Mytilus edulis: one gene and its partner. The protein of the gene in region 2 binds, or shares a complex with, the protein of the main gene of each other region. Links are inferred from orthologs where the notes say so. Each region holds a gene or a part of one and is shown on either strand. Other genes may lie near its edges.

Region 1 (8,604 bases), on a different chromosome or scaffold from region 2:
CCCGGAGAACAGTTTTGCACCTGACATAATAACTTTCCTAGGGTCAAGGTAAGATTGATCTGATTTTGATATTGTTTCACATCCTGCTCCCATGATGATAAATATATACATTTATTGTATAGCAATATAATATTTCCCACAGAAAGTAACCAAAAGTTAGCGTGCAATAAATTCTAATATTGCACTAGTGCAATAAATCGTCAAAACTCATGACGTCATCAACGACAAAATCTTAGTTTAAACCAATTTTTACTTTCAAATATTATATTGCTATACAATAAAAGGGTTATTGCATGAATATTGGGGAATATTGTCCCTTGTAGAACATATATTGCACTCGCAAGCTCTTGCAATATAAAATTCTACTCGGGACAATATTCCCCAATATTCATGCAATAACCCTATAGTATATGTATTCTGCATACATTATTATTACAGTACATGTATACAAAGTTTTGTCAATTAAGCTACAATACAAAAGATTTATATGTAGTGCACAGAAATCAGACATCATTGTTTCCTATCATAGGGGTCAAAGGTCAAATCTAGGTCTGGATGACATGACCTTGATATATAACATCCGCCCACAACCTCATGATGTAATTGCATAACATGATTGATCAGCCTAAGTTCTATGGCTCAAAGTTATGTGCAGGACAAAATTCAGACAATGTTACTCATGTTGCTATCATAGGGATAAAAGGTATACATTATATAAGATCTGTTTTAGGACTGGAATATGATACAGGATTCTTTTGCTTTCAAATTTTAGGCACCATAATCGATCACAATCTGTTAATAAAAAACATCTTTTTTAATCAATCTAAATGTCATTTTAAAAAAGAAGGATCCATGATGATAGGAGATTTGAACAACCTTGACTGACTCCCCAACTGTTGCTTACAGGGCAAGGGTGATCAGCTTGGCAGCCTGCTTACCATGACGTTGTATTGTTGGTAGATGAATCATTGACTCTGTAGTAGATGACTACAAATTGCACTAAAACTTTGATACAGCTAGCCCTTGGATGTATGGACAGCATAATTACATGTATGACACTCACCCATTAAAAATGGGTTTAATATCAGACTCGCTGATGCCGGTTTACTGTATGAGGGCCTTATAAACTAATTTGACTTGTAACATGTTTTAGTTAACAGATAATCAGGACCTGATCCAGCACGTCCTTTCAGCTGTAATGACTGAGACATTACTGAGGATTGGAGGGATCCATGTACTCATTTTCAAGCTTAGAGCAGAACAAAATGATCAGTAGAAAAAGTAGGGAAGGTAAGAAAATCAAGCAAGGAGGCTGACAGCCATGTAGTGAAAATGGACCATTAATACATACCCATCTCTTTTATCTGTTTTAGGAGCAGCATTAATACATCGTTTGCCATTCTTCAAGGAAATAAATCCACACTGTTTGTATGGTCCATTCTTGTCTTCTAGAATATGCTTTATACAATATTCAAATCCTTCTAAGCGATTGTGCATACATGTTCTATGGGAATAGTTACAGAATACTCCTTCAACAGGCTGCTTTGTTTTTCTAATCTGTGGTTGTGTTATTTTACTGCGTATCATTGTAATTCTGAAAGAAAAAATACATAAAAATATTTAGATGTATTAAAACTACAGATATTTATTATCCCTGTAGGTCCACATATGCAAGGCTTTCCACCTATAAATTGCCCCCCCCCCCCCTTTTTCTCATAAAAATCCTAAAATTAGAGATACAGATAAATATCTACAGGGGTAAATTCAGTAAATAAATATACGTCATCAGGGACCGCCACATATTGGTAAAAAGTGCTCTTCTGATTGGTAGATGTTTGTAATAAATATTTTTGGATAGACAGATCAAAACTAAAGTAAAAAAGTAATTAAAAATAAATATTGAATGTACCTATTATTTTTACTACAGTGTTAAAAAGTCTTGGGGGTCAGTAAAGGAATTAAGTGTGAATCTACAGGGTTTGTAAACAAGGCCATGAATGCCAAAAAATGATGCATGACCCTATGACTATTTTTTTATTGTTGCAAAAGATAGGGCTACATTTGTACTTTCATGAATGATATATGAAAGATTTTAAATTCTAAAGGTAAATCAGGTATAAAATTCAAGACATAGATTAGTATTAAAGTCAATGGGGGATTTTTTTTAATGAATTTAGCACTACAAGAATGTGGTACCAGTGACCTACTTTTTTTACTAAAAATTGATGACTGAAAATTTAACAAATTTCCAAATATTTACACATAACCAAGTTTCTCTTATGATCTTTCAAGTTCATGCAATTTTAGGCATTTCAACTTGTGACTCTTTTGTTTCAAATGAGCTGGTTTCTTTTAGCGTAGGTGTTGGATATTATAAAAGGTAAATCGGTCAAATCTTCTATTTTACTATTTGTCTTGCGTTCTATCTGCAACTGTCATTTCAGTAAACTAAATATACGCCTTCCCGAATACATAGTTGTAAGGAAAATAAATGAAATACATTTTCTATGCATTTCATGTCAAAATTACCTGAAATGCGAAGTATTTGGAGGCTATGTTACACAGCTACTGTCCTCTTAGTGTATTGATATGAATTGGTAAAATGTTTACATCACAATTTATTCTTTAAGCTACAAGTAATTAAAATAACTATATAATATTTTTTGTAAAAATCAATGAATCTTAATTTTAAACTTCTTATTGCTCAGAGGACAAAACAAAAATATGCAATTGATTTTAAACCAATTAGTGTTGTCTATAAATTCAGTCCAGTCCTATGAATTTCGGACGAGCATGCGTCCTTTCCATTTTCCTCGGAGTTGTGTAAATGGCGGGGGAGCGATGGATATTCACAAAAGAACAACTTTTGAATACCCCCAGCCGAAAGAGTGGGATAGAAAACGACAAAGAACTTATTTATAGGCAACAAGCTGCCAACCTTATCCAGGATATGGGACAACGGCTCCAAGTGTATCCTGTTTGAGGGAAGGGGGCACACTGCAAACATCGAGACGCGAAGTTCCAATGAACATTTTTCTACCGACGTCACGTTTTCACTAAACGGATGATCACATTGAGCATAAATTGAATAATTTTTAATAAAAATAAAAAAAAAAACTAAAATACCAAGCAATGAAGAAGTCCTTACCATTTGGTCTGAAACTCTTCTCAAGACCGACCATTTTCTGAAAATGAAGTCACGTGTTTTCAACCATGTGACTCCTTGGCACATGTGTTTGTTTATAAAAACTAAAAAATGTACATTGCCTACTTTTGAATTATTAATTTATATCTAGTTCCAAGTTTACCAGAACTTTCATTTGCCTATGTTTCTGAAATTCTGATTTTTATACACCTGAATAGTATGTAATGATTCTTGTCCTTGAAAATAAACTCATAGTACCAGATGAAAACCACTCTTCTGTTCAAACAAAATAAGATAATATTTTCCAATATTATTATATGGAAAAGAATATAATTGAAATTTTATTCTAAATAAGTAAAAAGGAAGTGCTACACGAACAGTATATAGATAGTTAAATACCCAATTCATGTTCTTGGTTTGTCTATATATATAAGTTATATTAAAACCTAATATTTGTAACTATAAACAGCATTGACTACTTAGATGGGTCTTGCATAGTCTGGTTCTGTAACCTATTATAGATGCTACCAATATAGCAATCACTGCTTTAAGATTTATATACGGTCAATATCGACTTTCTTCTTCCTTTTATTTATACCATCGATCTAATTGCAACAGTTTTTACCTTTCACAATGAAGAATAACACAATCGTGTACAAATTAGTTCTATAAAAATTTCTGTGACACTGTACAAGCCTTTTGATTTCAAAATATTGCTAAATAAGCATATATGGATCTTCATAATCAGTTAATAATAATAGTCAGATGTCAGATTGGTCATTGTTATAAAAAATAGCCAAAATATGTTTTCTTGTATCATGATCATTGATTTCCGGGAAAATTTTTAGCTAATTCTGAGGTCTATTTTCTGGGATTAAATTTCTTTCATTGTAGGAGAGGAATGAACAAAAGTAAATATCCTTAGAAAAGACATAAATGATATATCTGTTACTAGATTCTAATACATGGATAATTATACATTTATAAAAGTATACAGAACTGAAAGTAATTGTTGTTCTTTAGTGTCATAGGTTTGTTGCTAGTACATGTTCATCTATCAAAAATATTCTTGCTTGCAGATCTGTTTCTTTTATAAAGATATTTCATTTACCTAATAAATAGACTTAAAAAATCCATGCCCTCCAGGAACTATACACTTGAAAGTTATTAGATTATTAATCGTTTACATTTGTAAGTAATTGTGCCCATCACTGCTTGAAACACAAGTCAAAGTGCATGGCTCCCTTTAAGGGAACACAGTTGTGTGCCGTTATGCTGAAAAAGAATTCTGAACAGTGTTGTATTCATGAATAGTGTCTATAAGTTATTTGTAGCACCTCTTTTAAATAAAACATTTCCTGCAGAAAAAGGGTAAAATTTCATGACTAGTAATAATAACACTGGTGAATGTATATCAAGTTGTAACTTAAAGATAAATAGTGGGAGAGTTTGTCTCTTGCTCTGTACAGGTGACAGAAAGTTTCCTATTGTACATATATTTTTAGATCAAATTTTTCCTTGACATTGATTTCAGTACTCAGCTATGTATCAACACCGCCATCGTTTACATGCACAGATTTTATATGTTCCACTCATTTCAAAAGTTCCATCGCAATGTAAGTTTTTAATTAACATTTGTAAGGGTGGGGGGATATTGTGTTATATATATGAGGGAAATAAAATGTTGGATATATTGTTGGAAGACAGCAACTGATGTAAAAAAAAATCAGAAGGTGTCTTAGAGGTCATCATGGGTTCAGCAACACTAAACAAGTGTTCCACTTTAGATTGTTTTTCCATGATCTACTATTAAATCCAAATTAAGTAGATGACAAAAAAGAAGACATATTTAACATTCCTCTCAGATCAGAGAAAAAGTAGCAGTACAAATTACTTAGCAGTACATGTAGCTCGCACAACATCTTGTTTTTATAAGTCTTCCCAGCCAATTTACCTCAATAAAATTTTTTGAAGTTTGTTTTACACTAAGACTTGTTTTTATAAAACTTTCCAAACAATTGAGCCCCTCTAAAATACGGTTTGACCTTTATTATAATGATTGACATGACAATTTTGTTTTTCATTTTAAACTACATCAATAAAAGATTTGTACTTTCAACATGTCACCATAATAAAGTTTTGTTATTGATATTTTTCTCATAGGCAATGGCAGCAGCATGTTTGTTTTTAGCTGCCAAAGTAGAAGAACAACCTCGAAAATTAGAGCATGTTGTCAAAGTGTCCAATATATGTCAGAATAAAGAAACTCCTGACACTAAAAGTGAAGTAAGTATTTCATATGCTATTCATGTACATGTAGGGTCATTGTTTATATACTATCTGAAATTTAAACCAGATCGAAAATTGTTGCACTTAAAGATGATTCAGTATTCTAGCTAGGTTTATAACATTGTACATGTAGTTTCATGTGATAAGTTAGTTGACAAAATTAAAAGAATATGTAAAATTTTCGCCATCCAAAAACAAACTACAATATATTAGGCTTGTCACTTCAAACAAATGTTGATCTCTTATTTAATAAAAGACAATTCATTTCATTCTGTCATATGTTTACATTTTGTAAGAAGAAAAAAAACACATTATATAGTAATGTCTTGTGAAAATTGATACTAAATACAATGATCATATTTAAACAAAAAGTGCTTTCTGACACCCTCCATTACAAATATGAATGTCACTTGCTTTCATTATGTATAAATTTTTAAAACTGCATTCAGCATTTCACATTACATGTTTTGATTTTTGAAGCAGAAAGCATTCTATGAAACTTCATTAACTTAAAATCTTGTATGTTAATGTATTTTCAGGAATATTTAAATGAAGCTCATCAACTTGTTATCAATGAAAGCATTCTATTGCAAACTCTTGGTAAGTAATGGTATTATAGATATAATTTTATTGTTCTGTCATAAGAGTTTAACAGTACGCTATACAGTAATACAAAATATTTTAAAAGAGAGGTAATGTCATCTTTCAGTTTCCTATTGTAACCTAATAAAATACATTTGTATCATTTTCTTCAAAACTACATGTCAAACCTGAAGAAAAATGCCAGTTTCTGTTGAAAACTTATTATTTGCTGGATACCAATTTTTGTTGGTTTCGTGTGTACTTTATGTATCTTGGAACCACAAATTTATAAGTACAACGATATACAAAAATTTTATGATTATATAGGCAGGCTGACAAAACCATGAAATCAAATATCCTCGAAATTGCAAGTATATCTCTAACAATGAAAATTTGTACTCGCCAACAAAAAAATTATTCCACAGTTATACAGAATATTTTACTTGGGCATGAGAAGTAATGTCAACTTTCAGTTTCCCATTGAAACCTAATGATAAATCACATTTGTACCATCTCCAAAAATAGATAGTTACAACATCTTTTTTTAATGTCACTTGTAAAATTAATACCTATCAACTAAAGTATTCTGAAATATTCTTCTTATGGACCAATTGCTACCAAACTTTAAAATGCTGACCATGTTTAATTATAAAGAATGACCATTTTTATATTCTGGCCAAAAATACCAAGTAGGCAGTTAACTGGTTTTCAAATTATGGTCTTTTCAATTTTAGTTTAAACCTTAGAATATCCTAAATAATTATCTACTGAACACATTTTGAATGAGTTTTATATTGTTTCCTTACAAGAAGTTTAGCATTATAACTAGTACTGTATTTTTTTATACAGGTTTTGATCTGACAGTAGACCATCCACATACCAATGTAGTGAAAACATGTCAGCTTGTAAAAGGTAAGAAAAAACATATTACGAAATCTGAGGATAAGTACATATAGAGAGACAGAGTAGTATTAATATTAAACCTCTGGAAAGCAGCACACAAGTTAACTGCAATTTTCAACTTTACACTGGAATTCGATACATTTAAAGCTAGAAATCACCACATCTAAAATAAATAACAAGTATTCATAATCCTTGGCTTTTCAATTTCGTGGTATTAGCTTTCCTGATGAAGGTAAATCCAGAAAAGCATTTTAGACATGCCAATTTATTAGGTGTTCATTCTATTCCGATTTCATAATTATCACATTGGGAGTGCTAGGTCGTGTGATTATAATTATATTGCGTCTGATTAATGTACTCCAACTTTGATTCAACCAATCAAATTTACAGTTTTTTAGTGTTTCAAGCACACATTTTTTACCTCCTAGTAATGAGTGAAGATTTATGATTGAGGTCCCTTATCTTTGCCCATATATTATCCTGAACATACATGTAGACACATTTGAGAATTCTTTTCAACATCATTAATAGTATCTTCAAATTTACATCCAATGTTGGAAACTTTTAAAGCAGTTGTTTATTGTGAATAATTGACAGACAGAGTTCTTCAACTTGATGTAAATTTTTATAGCATTTGAAGGTTAGGTTATCAAGCAGCAACATGTATAAGGTGTGTTTGTCCAGACTAAACTTGAATTTTGAATTATAAATTTCTATTTTACAGCTACAAAAGATCTTGCACAGACCTCATATTTCCTGGCAACAAACAGGTGAGATTTTATTCTGGATATGAATAAACGAAATAAATATGCATTAAAGCTGAAAAATCGTTATTATAATATTAATGCACAGAAATTGGAAAAAATTGTCCCGGGCAAACTATTTTATAGTATGAATGTGGATGTAGATAAATAGTTCTTCAGTAATAATCGGGATGCTCTAAATTATGACTAATATAAATAAAAATTGTATAAGCAAAATTTTTGATTATCAGCCATAAAAATGTCCCATTCACTGGAAGAAAACCAACTGATTTTAAAGACATGTTCATTGCATGGAACGTAGCTAAAAATATACCAGTTGTTCTCATTTTACAATGGCCATAAACACTACATTAAAATGTTGCAAATGAACCACTATGTTAATGATTCCTTTGCATCTATTTCTTTTAATTACACATATTATAAGAAGGTTGATAGTCAATGCACAAAAGTCACATACTTGTATATAACTGTGGATTCATTATTATGATGATGGGGTCATTATTTTCGTAGATATTTGTGGGTTATGGTTTTCCATGAACAATTTAGTTTTTTACACACTTGATTTCAAAATTTGTGAAACCAAGAAATCTAGTACTGTATCCTCAAAAAGTTTGAAGGAAAAAAATAAAAGAATCCACAGTTTTAATGTTTGCTCACCCATGCAAAGAATATTGAATGGTGAAAATAAATTTCAGCCTCCATCTGACCGCCATGTGTCTTCAATATAAGCCTACTATTGTAGCCTGTGTATGTGTTCATCTTGCCTGTAAATGGTCAAAATGGGAGGTGAGTGACATGCTGTTCATTTTAGTGATAAATGTGATGATAAAGGAAAACATCAAAAGTAATGCAGTTAATCAATACACAAAATTACTATGTGTTCATAACATGCTTTACAAAAGCAAGGAACAAGACTTTTGT
Region 2 (8,317 bases):
TCATGTCTAGCAGTGTTAAAGTGTGAATGTCTAATTCCTGTACTAAAAGTATTTGCAAAAACAAAATATTAGTACAAAAACTATCCCAATTAAAAAAAATCTTGATAATCTTAAGTACATTATTTACTTGTATTCCTGTTATGAGCATTCGTTTTTGTTTCAGAAATCTTGGAAGTGGGCAGTGTTAGGTGGAGGAGTAGCGGCTGTGGTGGCAGCAGGACTGGCGGCATACAGATATGGACATCACTAATGATCACTTCATTAAGCATCTCAAATCTCTCAAATCTTTATCTCTGACAGTCATTGTTTTTTTTATATATCATTTTTTTTAATCATTTTGAAGACAAATGAGGCACTTAGTTTTCAGGCATTCTCTCATCTTGAATCTTCTATTGGTATTCTTCTCTCGACCTCATTTTTTTGTGGTTGTGAATAAAATAGTGTTGGTTATTAGAATGTTAATGAGGGCCTTTACAAAATATGACACCTTTACTGTACACTATTTAGTTTTCAATGTGATGTATACAAAAACAAGCAAAGAACCATAATTACTGAGGAAGTTGTTTTTTATAGTAATTCTTCTTCACGTAATAATACTTGACCTATAATATTGGGATTTAAAAGAAAGTGGCATTTGTTATCTAGTTTATGTTAAGGACTAAGGAGTCATATAAATTCATATTTTATCTTTCTTTTAGAAAAAAATGTCCTATATGATAGTTGCCAAGATTGGTGTTCATTTAGTACATATACAGGATGTTTGGATAAACAACAACATTTCAATCATAAAGTGGAGACAGTCTGTAAAACCTTGAGATCATTTGGGGCCAAATTTATATGCATTACTTCTTTTTTTGAAGAACAGTATGTTACAATTTAAGATTTTTATCTGATGTGTAAATGTTTCATGTTGGAATCATTTTTTTTGTTATATTTAAAAGCATTTGTTTTTTTAGTAGATGTTTGAAAACTAACAGTATATAAGGAAATCCTTTAATATATTTACATATTTTATAAAAATTCACTGTGAAATACCAATAATACATTTATATTTGACTTTCATGTCATCTATTTATAGTGTGTAGGAAGAAAAACATCTATTAAAATAATACCATCTGTATGTCGAAAATATTGGTAAGGGGTTCAGTTTTTACTTTTATCTCCCCTTGTGTATTTTTATACTTCGAGATGATCAAAATCAAAGACAAATAATGCCTGAACATATTAAACCTCACAGAACAGGTTTTACATTATTTATCATAATATTCTAAAAACACCAACATAAACCACATAACAGTAGTCTTTAATCATTTTGATAAGAAATTAATTTCAGAGAATAGGTTGATGGCCTGAAAGCTTAATTTCATTACTTTTATCATTAATTTAATAATTTAGTACTTTTGATAAACTGATTTGAAGAATAAGATCAAAACTTTCATTTCTTTGCTATTACACTCTACTGCTTTGGTATATATCCAGCATGTGATTGCACCTTTTATAGATATTCTCATCTTGTTAAATGAACTCTTTAAGTATGTCTCTTAAAGTGTTGAATAAGCTTGACATCTTTATTATTCAGTATCAAAACTCTATTGATATGAATAAAGAATTATACCAATTATAAGGGAGATAATTCAGGATTGCAATTAAAAATAATTTTGCCCAAAAAAAATTGACTCTTATTGACTTATTCCTGTCTTTCTTTAATGTGACTTATTGATTATTTTATTACTTTTTGCTGTGCTAGAACATTAATTTCAGATTGAAAATTGCTAGAACTTATTTTTTTATGTGAGTCTGTTAAGCATGTTACATGGTATCTTTTTTTATTCTTTTTTCGAAGTAAATGAAGATTGTTGACAAGAAGCTTTTAGAAAATGACTCAAATAAATATGAACAGTTGTTTTTCCATTGTAATAAAAATGAAGTCTGTACTATATATTTCATGTTGTTTGTTTCCTCTACTAGTAATGAACGAATTGGTTTCTGGCTGAATGTGTCATGCATAATAATGAAAGTTATACATTTTAGCAATAATATCTTTAATATATTGTTTAATATGTGATTAATTCAACTATTAATATTATCATGATTTTGTAAAGATGTATGTGAATACAAAACAAAATAAAATAAATCAGAAAATAAACCTAATTTTGATGTAGATTGTAGTTAGTTGTATTTTTGTATTTGTTCCCTTCAAAATCTAAAAAGTTGAAAGATTTTCATTTCTTCAAAATATTTGATAGCATTACAGAAAGTCTGGTAATCTCACAAAGAATCAAAGTTGAACTTCAGTTACACTACAGAATTCGTATTACTGAATATAAAAGATTTAGGGTACATGTGTTTAAGACATCAACTCAATATGAATAAAAAGTAAATCACAGGTCTATGAGAGGTCCTCAATGAGCAACAGTTGTTGATACCAGATATCAAACTCTAATTATTACCCTGTTTTCCATATAACCAAGTGTCCCTTTTATTTCCTTGATCAAGTTAGTGGTCATTCTGTTGGTAGCTACATTTTGTGTGGTATAATTAAATATCATGGTCTAAATAGACAAATGGTGAGGTTTATGGGCATGTAAAACTGACTTTACTACACCACTCCGGTATTATAATACCTATATCATAGATCTGTCGTTCATTGTTTGTCTTAGTTTGTATGTCTTCTTTCTCAATAGAGTCTGTTATTGATGGTACCGTAGGGCATGGTAAAGGTGTCCAATACTTTTGTGATTCCTGGTTTCCTTTTTATGTGTTAAGAAACAGTTAGGTGCTAATAGAATTTCAAGAATATTCTGCTTCATGACCAGCTACACAACTTTTTTAGAAGCTAATTGTATGTGTTTCAATATTTTTTGCTATAAAACTGCAACAACCAGATATGGTATAAATTAACCAGGGTCTTCAATCTATTGGCTATCAAGTAAGTTTTGTAAATTGAAACCATAATGAGGCTTATATTTTGTATCAATATATATAATATTTCCAACACTCAAAATCAAGGCAACACATCACGATTAATTGTATCTGATCAGCCTAAATAGTGTTAAATTATAAAAAAAAACAACATACAAATATATGACCGATGATATTACATAAAAGCTAGCATGGTTTTAGCATTAATTCCTGGTCATTGTGACAGAAACAAAATTTACAGTTTGGACAGGTCTGCACTATCTCCAGGCCTTTCATGTATTAGAAAAAGTGTGGTTATTTTTCTAAAGAAAACATGAAAACACGGGGCCTTTTATAGCTGACTATGCGGTATGGGCTTTGCTCATTGTTGAAGGCCGTACGGTGACCTATAGTTATTAATGTCTGTGTCATTTTGGTCTTTTGTGGATAGTTGTCTCATTGGCAATCATACCACATCTTCTTTTTTATATGATACATATTATGCTTGTGTGGTTGAATTTAAAAAGTTATTTGTTCAAGAAATCCACTGTAATCGGGTCAGAAAATATACAGTGTTTGTGCAAGTTGATTACAAAAGGATATAAAATGTAATCAAGCTTAATGCATGCGTTACAAAGTTGTAAAGTTAAGCTTTTGTTGTTGTTTAGTTTTCTATTAAACACATCACTACTTGACCCTAATATTTTTTGCACTTCTCGTTGGGTTAAAAGTAAAAAATGACAGAAGTGATCAACAGGACAAGTTCTATCTAACCTGGGCATTCTGTATTTGATATTGATGCTGTCATATTAATTTCTACCTATTTTCCCATTTTTTATCTGAAAAAATACAGGAACTAGTTTAAAATTTTAAATGGCAAAAGTGATCATAAAAAAATATACAGGAACTAGTTTAAAAATATAAATAGCAAAGTAAATCAGCAAGACAAAAAGACCATGCAAGTCCAATTTTAAAGGTCTCCACTAGCTTTCAACCAAGTTAGCTATACAGGCTATCCTCTTGTTATGATAATGGTCCAATAAAGAACCAAGATGCATTAGATGTGAGCCAAAATTTGTTCCTGTGAAAAAAGTTCTAGTGGAACTTATATCACAGGAAATATGTTCTGGGAGAACTTTTTTTTCACAGATGATTTCTATATAATTTGTTACATCTCTATAAAATAAGTTCCAAGTAGATGAAATTGTTCCTTATCTAGTAAAATAAATTCTGGGTTTGAGATATTTGTTCCTTACCTGGTGAAATAAGTTCTAGGTTTGTGAGATTTGTTCCTCACTTGGTGAAATAAGTTCCTTGTCTGTGAAATATGTTCCACTGGTTAAACAAGTTATCTTGTACACATTGTAATGAGCATTTGTCATCAGTGAGTTGAAATTTATCATTCAAGTATATTATAAAAAAAATGTATTATATTGATATATATGTAATCAGAAGTCCAGTACTAGTCTATGAATGGACTTTTAATGTAATAAATAAAAAGTGTAAACATCCAATTTGGATCCTGTGGAGTATAGCAAATTTTTAATAATATATTTACTCCATAAAAAATACCAAAATGACACTTATGAGCCAGAAAAGAGCAGAATTAGAATAAAAAGTATAGTTAATGATGAACATTTATACTAATTTGAAAAGGACAAAGTGACTGATCAATTATATTGAAAGACATAAAGAAACAAAAGTCTCAATCTCTTGAAACTGTGCCATGACCTAAGTACATGTATGAAAAGAACAACCATGACTGTTAACGGGAAAAATAGAGGAATGCCACATAAAACATGAATAAAAATTATGATACATAAATGAAGGCAACAGTAGTATACCGCTGTTCGAAATTCATAAATTGATAAAGAAAAAAACAAATCCGGGTTACAAACTAAAACTGAGTGAAATGTATCAAAAATATAAGAGAATAACGACACAACAGAAACACAACATTACAATGTAACTCACACAGGAACGAACTATGACATAACAATGGCTATTTTCCTGACCTGGTACAGGGCATTTTAAGAAAAAAAAAGATGGGTTGAAGCTAGTTTTGTGGCATGCCAAACCTCCCGCTTTAATGGCAATGTTAATTATAACATTAAAATGACATTACATGACGATAACCATCACTTTTTATTTCTTATCTTCATCATATAGTTTCATTAATGCCTTCATTAGGTTTTTTTTTTTTTTTTTTTTTATCTTTTTATCACACGAAGCTGTGGATTCCGGGAAAAAATTATATCCATTCCGTAATCGTAACACATTTAGAAATTTGACCTTCACCTTTTTATTTTGGCGTGGAATGCTAAATTTTATTTTGTCGATATATTTAGTATGAATGCTACATAAGACAGCATTCCCAATTATTTGTAAGTAACTGAATGACGGCAGTGTTGTCGCCGTCAAAAATTTGATCCTGATATATAAAAGGTCGCTGTTTTCTATGACGAAACCATCTCAAAACATTTTAAATTGAACATCACAACAATCAACATCATATAATTTACTTTATTAGTGTGGGTTCATGGTCTAGTGGTTAAGACCGATTCCTACAGTGCTTGAAGGTCACGAGATCGATACTGACTCGGGGTGCTAGATATTTCAGTACATTACAAGGGTGATTTTCACCCTCCAACACATTTCTCTGGTACCTAGACCATTAAACTAGAATGTGTACTTTGGACGCCTAGGCTGGTCAAAGTTGTCCCCTACTTTGACCTGGAGATCAATCCTCTGATATCTCTTAGGTTGTCTGTTTCTGCCCAGTGGTCTGGTGGTTCTCTCCTATTACTCCAGCTTCCTCCCCCATATAAAAGACTTCCCAGTGTCCTAGCACTCCTTTTGTGTTGGGTGAGGATTCAATTTGATTGTCCTTGTAAAAATAATTATCGTAAAGATATGATAGTCAATCATAATTTCAAAATAATTAGGAATATGATATGATATGAAGGCGTCACAGAATTTTTTAAAAATAGCCTTTCAAGACGTCATAAGTATTCTTATTTGCTGTATTATATGTATATACGATGGTCTCTATTATTAGAGAATGAAAATAGTGGCGGTCTTGACATAAATAAAAGTTCTGATCTAGCCTCTGTTATATACTGGTCAGTTAATTATAAAATTATTGATATCATAAAATTCACAAATTGTTCCTGACTGATATAAATTATAATAACTATATAAAGTAAACTTTATAATTAGTATTTAGCACTTATCTGCCCCAAACAAGAATACTTTTGTTCAGTTCTGGATCCAATACCGCAGAATCAGAAGCTTGATTTTGATTTTTTGTTTCAGATCATTTTTCAGTAGAGGTATAAGTTTTGCTTAAAATGGATATTTACCAACCAGACAGAGGCAGTACAGTATCCATGGACCATTGTTATTCCAAGCCATGGAGTGCTCATCCTGATGCCAGTAATGCCAGACCTATCAAAAAGTTATATATGCCAAAGCTACCACATCTTACACAAATGCACGTACAAAACAGGTAACAGTTATGATAAAATAAACTCAATTGCAAGCTGACGGTTGTTATCCTTATATTAATGGATCTTTGATAAAATGTGAGGTACTGCTAGCTGGTTCATTCATGTAAATAAATTGTTGAAATTGTTTTTATGCCCCACCTACAATATGCCCACCTACGATAGTAGAGGGTCATTATGTTTTCTGGTCTGTGGCTCCGTTCGTGCGTCAGTTCGTCTGTACGTCCGTTCAGGTTAGAGTTTTTGGTCAAGGTAGTTTTTGATGAAACTGAAGTCCAATCAACTTGAAACTTAGTACACTTGTTGCTTATGATATGATCTATCTAATTTTAAAGCCAAAATAGACTTTTGACCCCATTTTCACGGTCCACTGTACATAGAAAATGAAAGGGGGAGTTTCAGGTTAAAGTTTTTGGTCAAGGTAGTTTTTGATGAAACTGAATTCTAATCAACTTGAAACTTTGTACACTTGTTGCTTATGATATGATCTGTCTAATTTTAAAGCCAAATTAGACTTTTGACCCCAATTTCACGGTCCACTGAACAAAGATAATGAAAGGGGGAGTTTCAGGTTAAATTTTTTGGTCAAGGTAGTTTTTGATAAAGCTGAATTCCAATGAACTTGAAACTTAGTAGACTTGTTGCTTATGATATGATCTTTCAAATTTTAAAGCCAAATTAGACTTGTGACCCCAATTTCACGGTTCACTAAACATAGAAAATGAAAGTGGGAGTTTCAGGTTAAAGTTTTTGGTCAAGGTAGTTTTTGATGAAATTGAAGTCCAGTCAACTTGAAACTTAGTACATATGTTCCCTATAGTATAATCTTTCTAATTTTAATGCCAAATTAGATTATTACCCAATTTTTACAGTCCATGGATCATGGAAAAGGATAGTGCAAGTGGGGCATCCATGTACTTTGGACACATTCTTGTTTTTATTATGTGCATAAGGAAGAATTAAAATGTAAGTGAGAAAAGTTGCACCTACATGTATTAAAAAAAGATCCTTTGAATTAAAAACTTACAAAATTGTTGAATGTATTTTGATGAATGAAAGTATCAATAATATTGACAGCATGAGAGAAAATAACAACAGAGGAGACCTATAGTCTTTTATATTCTTGTCCTTCAGTCTTCTGATAGAAAGTTGCCTCATAGTGACTTATATCACACTTTCTTTTTTAGACAAGCAGACATAAATTTGCAAACACAATATGACATAACTCACACGCATCAACTATAATACCACCTATGCAAAAACAAACAACAAAAAAACAACACACCAACAAACAAACAGGAAAGATAGGGGAAGAGAAAGTGATGATTAAAGAAAAACTTCTTCAAATGTGTTGGATCAATATGTGCTTGAAATTTGATAGAACATTTTAACAGTTGTTACTTTTATAAACATAGATGTAGGAAGATGTGGTGTGAGTGCCAATGAGACAACTTTCCATCCAAATAACAATTTATAAAAGTAAACCATTATAGGTCAAAGTACGGCCTTCAACACAGTGCCTTGGCTCACACCAAGCAACAAGCTATAAAGGGCCCTGAAATTACTAGTGTTAAATCATTCAAACGGGAAAACGAACAGTCTAATGTTTGCTTTGTATTTTAGGGAAGCAGAAATAGATGTTTGTACAGTAACTGAGCCCAGCAAGCCACCATATGATACAGCTAAAGCCCGGAGTCTAATGCAGGAGTGTGGACGACATGTACCCCTAATGAGAACAGAAGAAAGCCCAGAGGACTGGGAAGAAAGAATTTCAAGGTTTAAACAAATGTCTGTTGATTTCATGGGGATCATGGTAACACCTCATTTTCATCTTCCAATCATTTCACGTTTAATAAATTGTACTTTTATAATAAACAGACAGAAACCAATATTTCATTTATAATTCTTTT

Evidence for each region. Proteins that work in one complex are often made in the same cells at the same time.
Region 1: KAT8 regulatory NSL complex subunit 3-like (region 2) and KAT8 regulatory NSL complex subunit 2-like share a complex: the UniProt entries of both Homo sapiens proteins name them as parts of the NSL complex. The link is inferred for Mytilus edulis from reciprocal best matches to the Homo sapiens genes KANSL3 and KANSL2.

Annotation. Positions count from the first base shown.
Region 1 is NC_092345.1:56,707,410-56,716,013, forward strand, and holds the start of KAT8 regulatory NSL complex subunit 2-like, read right to left. Parts: upstream 3,222-8,604; 5' UTR 3,149-3,221; intron 2,971-3,148; coding exon of another isoform or gene 2,828-2,970; exon of another isoform or gene 2,794-2,827; intron 2,631-2,793; 5' UTR 2,530-2,630; intron 1,595-2,529; 5' UTR 1,588-1,594; coding exon 1,352-1,587; intron 1-1,351. Other genes in the region: cyclin-T2-like, read left to right, coding at 2,828-2,970, 4,680-4,761, 5,309-5,431, 5,974-6,034, 6,866-6,928, 7,644-7,689, 8,379-8,469. UniProt on the Homo sapiens protein: Non-catalytic component of the NSL histone acetyltransferase complex, a multiprotein complex that mediates histone H4 acetylation at 'Lys-5'- and 'Lys-8' (H4K5ac and H4K8ac) at transcription start sites and promotes transcription initiation.
Region 2 is NC_092347.1:90,585,247-90,593,563, forward strand, and holds the start of KAT8 regulatory NSL complex subunit 3-like, read left to right. Parts: upstream 1-5,178; 5' UTR 5,179-5,285; intron 5,286-6,216; 5' UTR 6,217-6,251; coding exon 6,252-6,409; intron 6,410-8,030; coding exon 8,031-8,195; intron 8,196-8,317. Other genes in the region: peptidyl-prolyl cis-trans isomerase FKBP8-like, read left to right, coding at 164-250. UniProt on the Homo sapiens protein: Non-catalytic component of the NSL histone acetyltransferase complex, a multiprotein complex that mediates histone H4 acetylation at 'Lys-5'- and 'Lys-8' (H4K5ac and H4K8ac) at transcription start sites and promotes transcription initiation.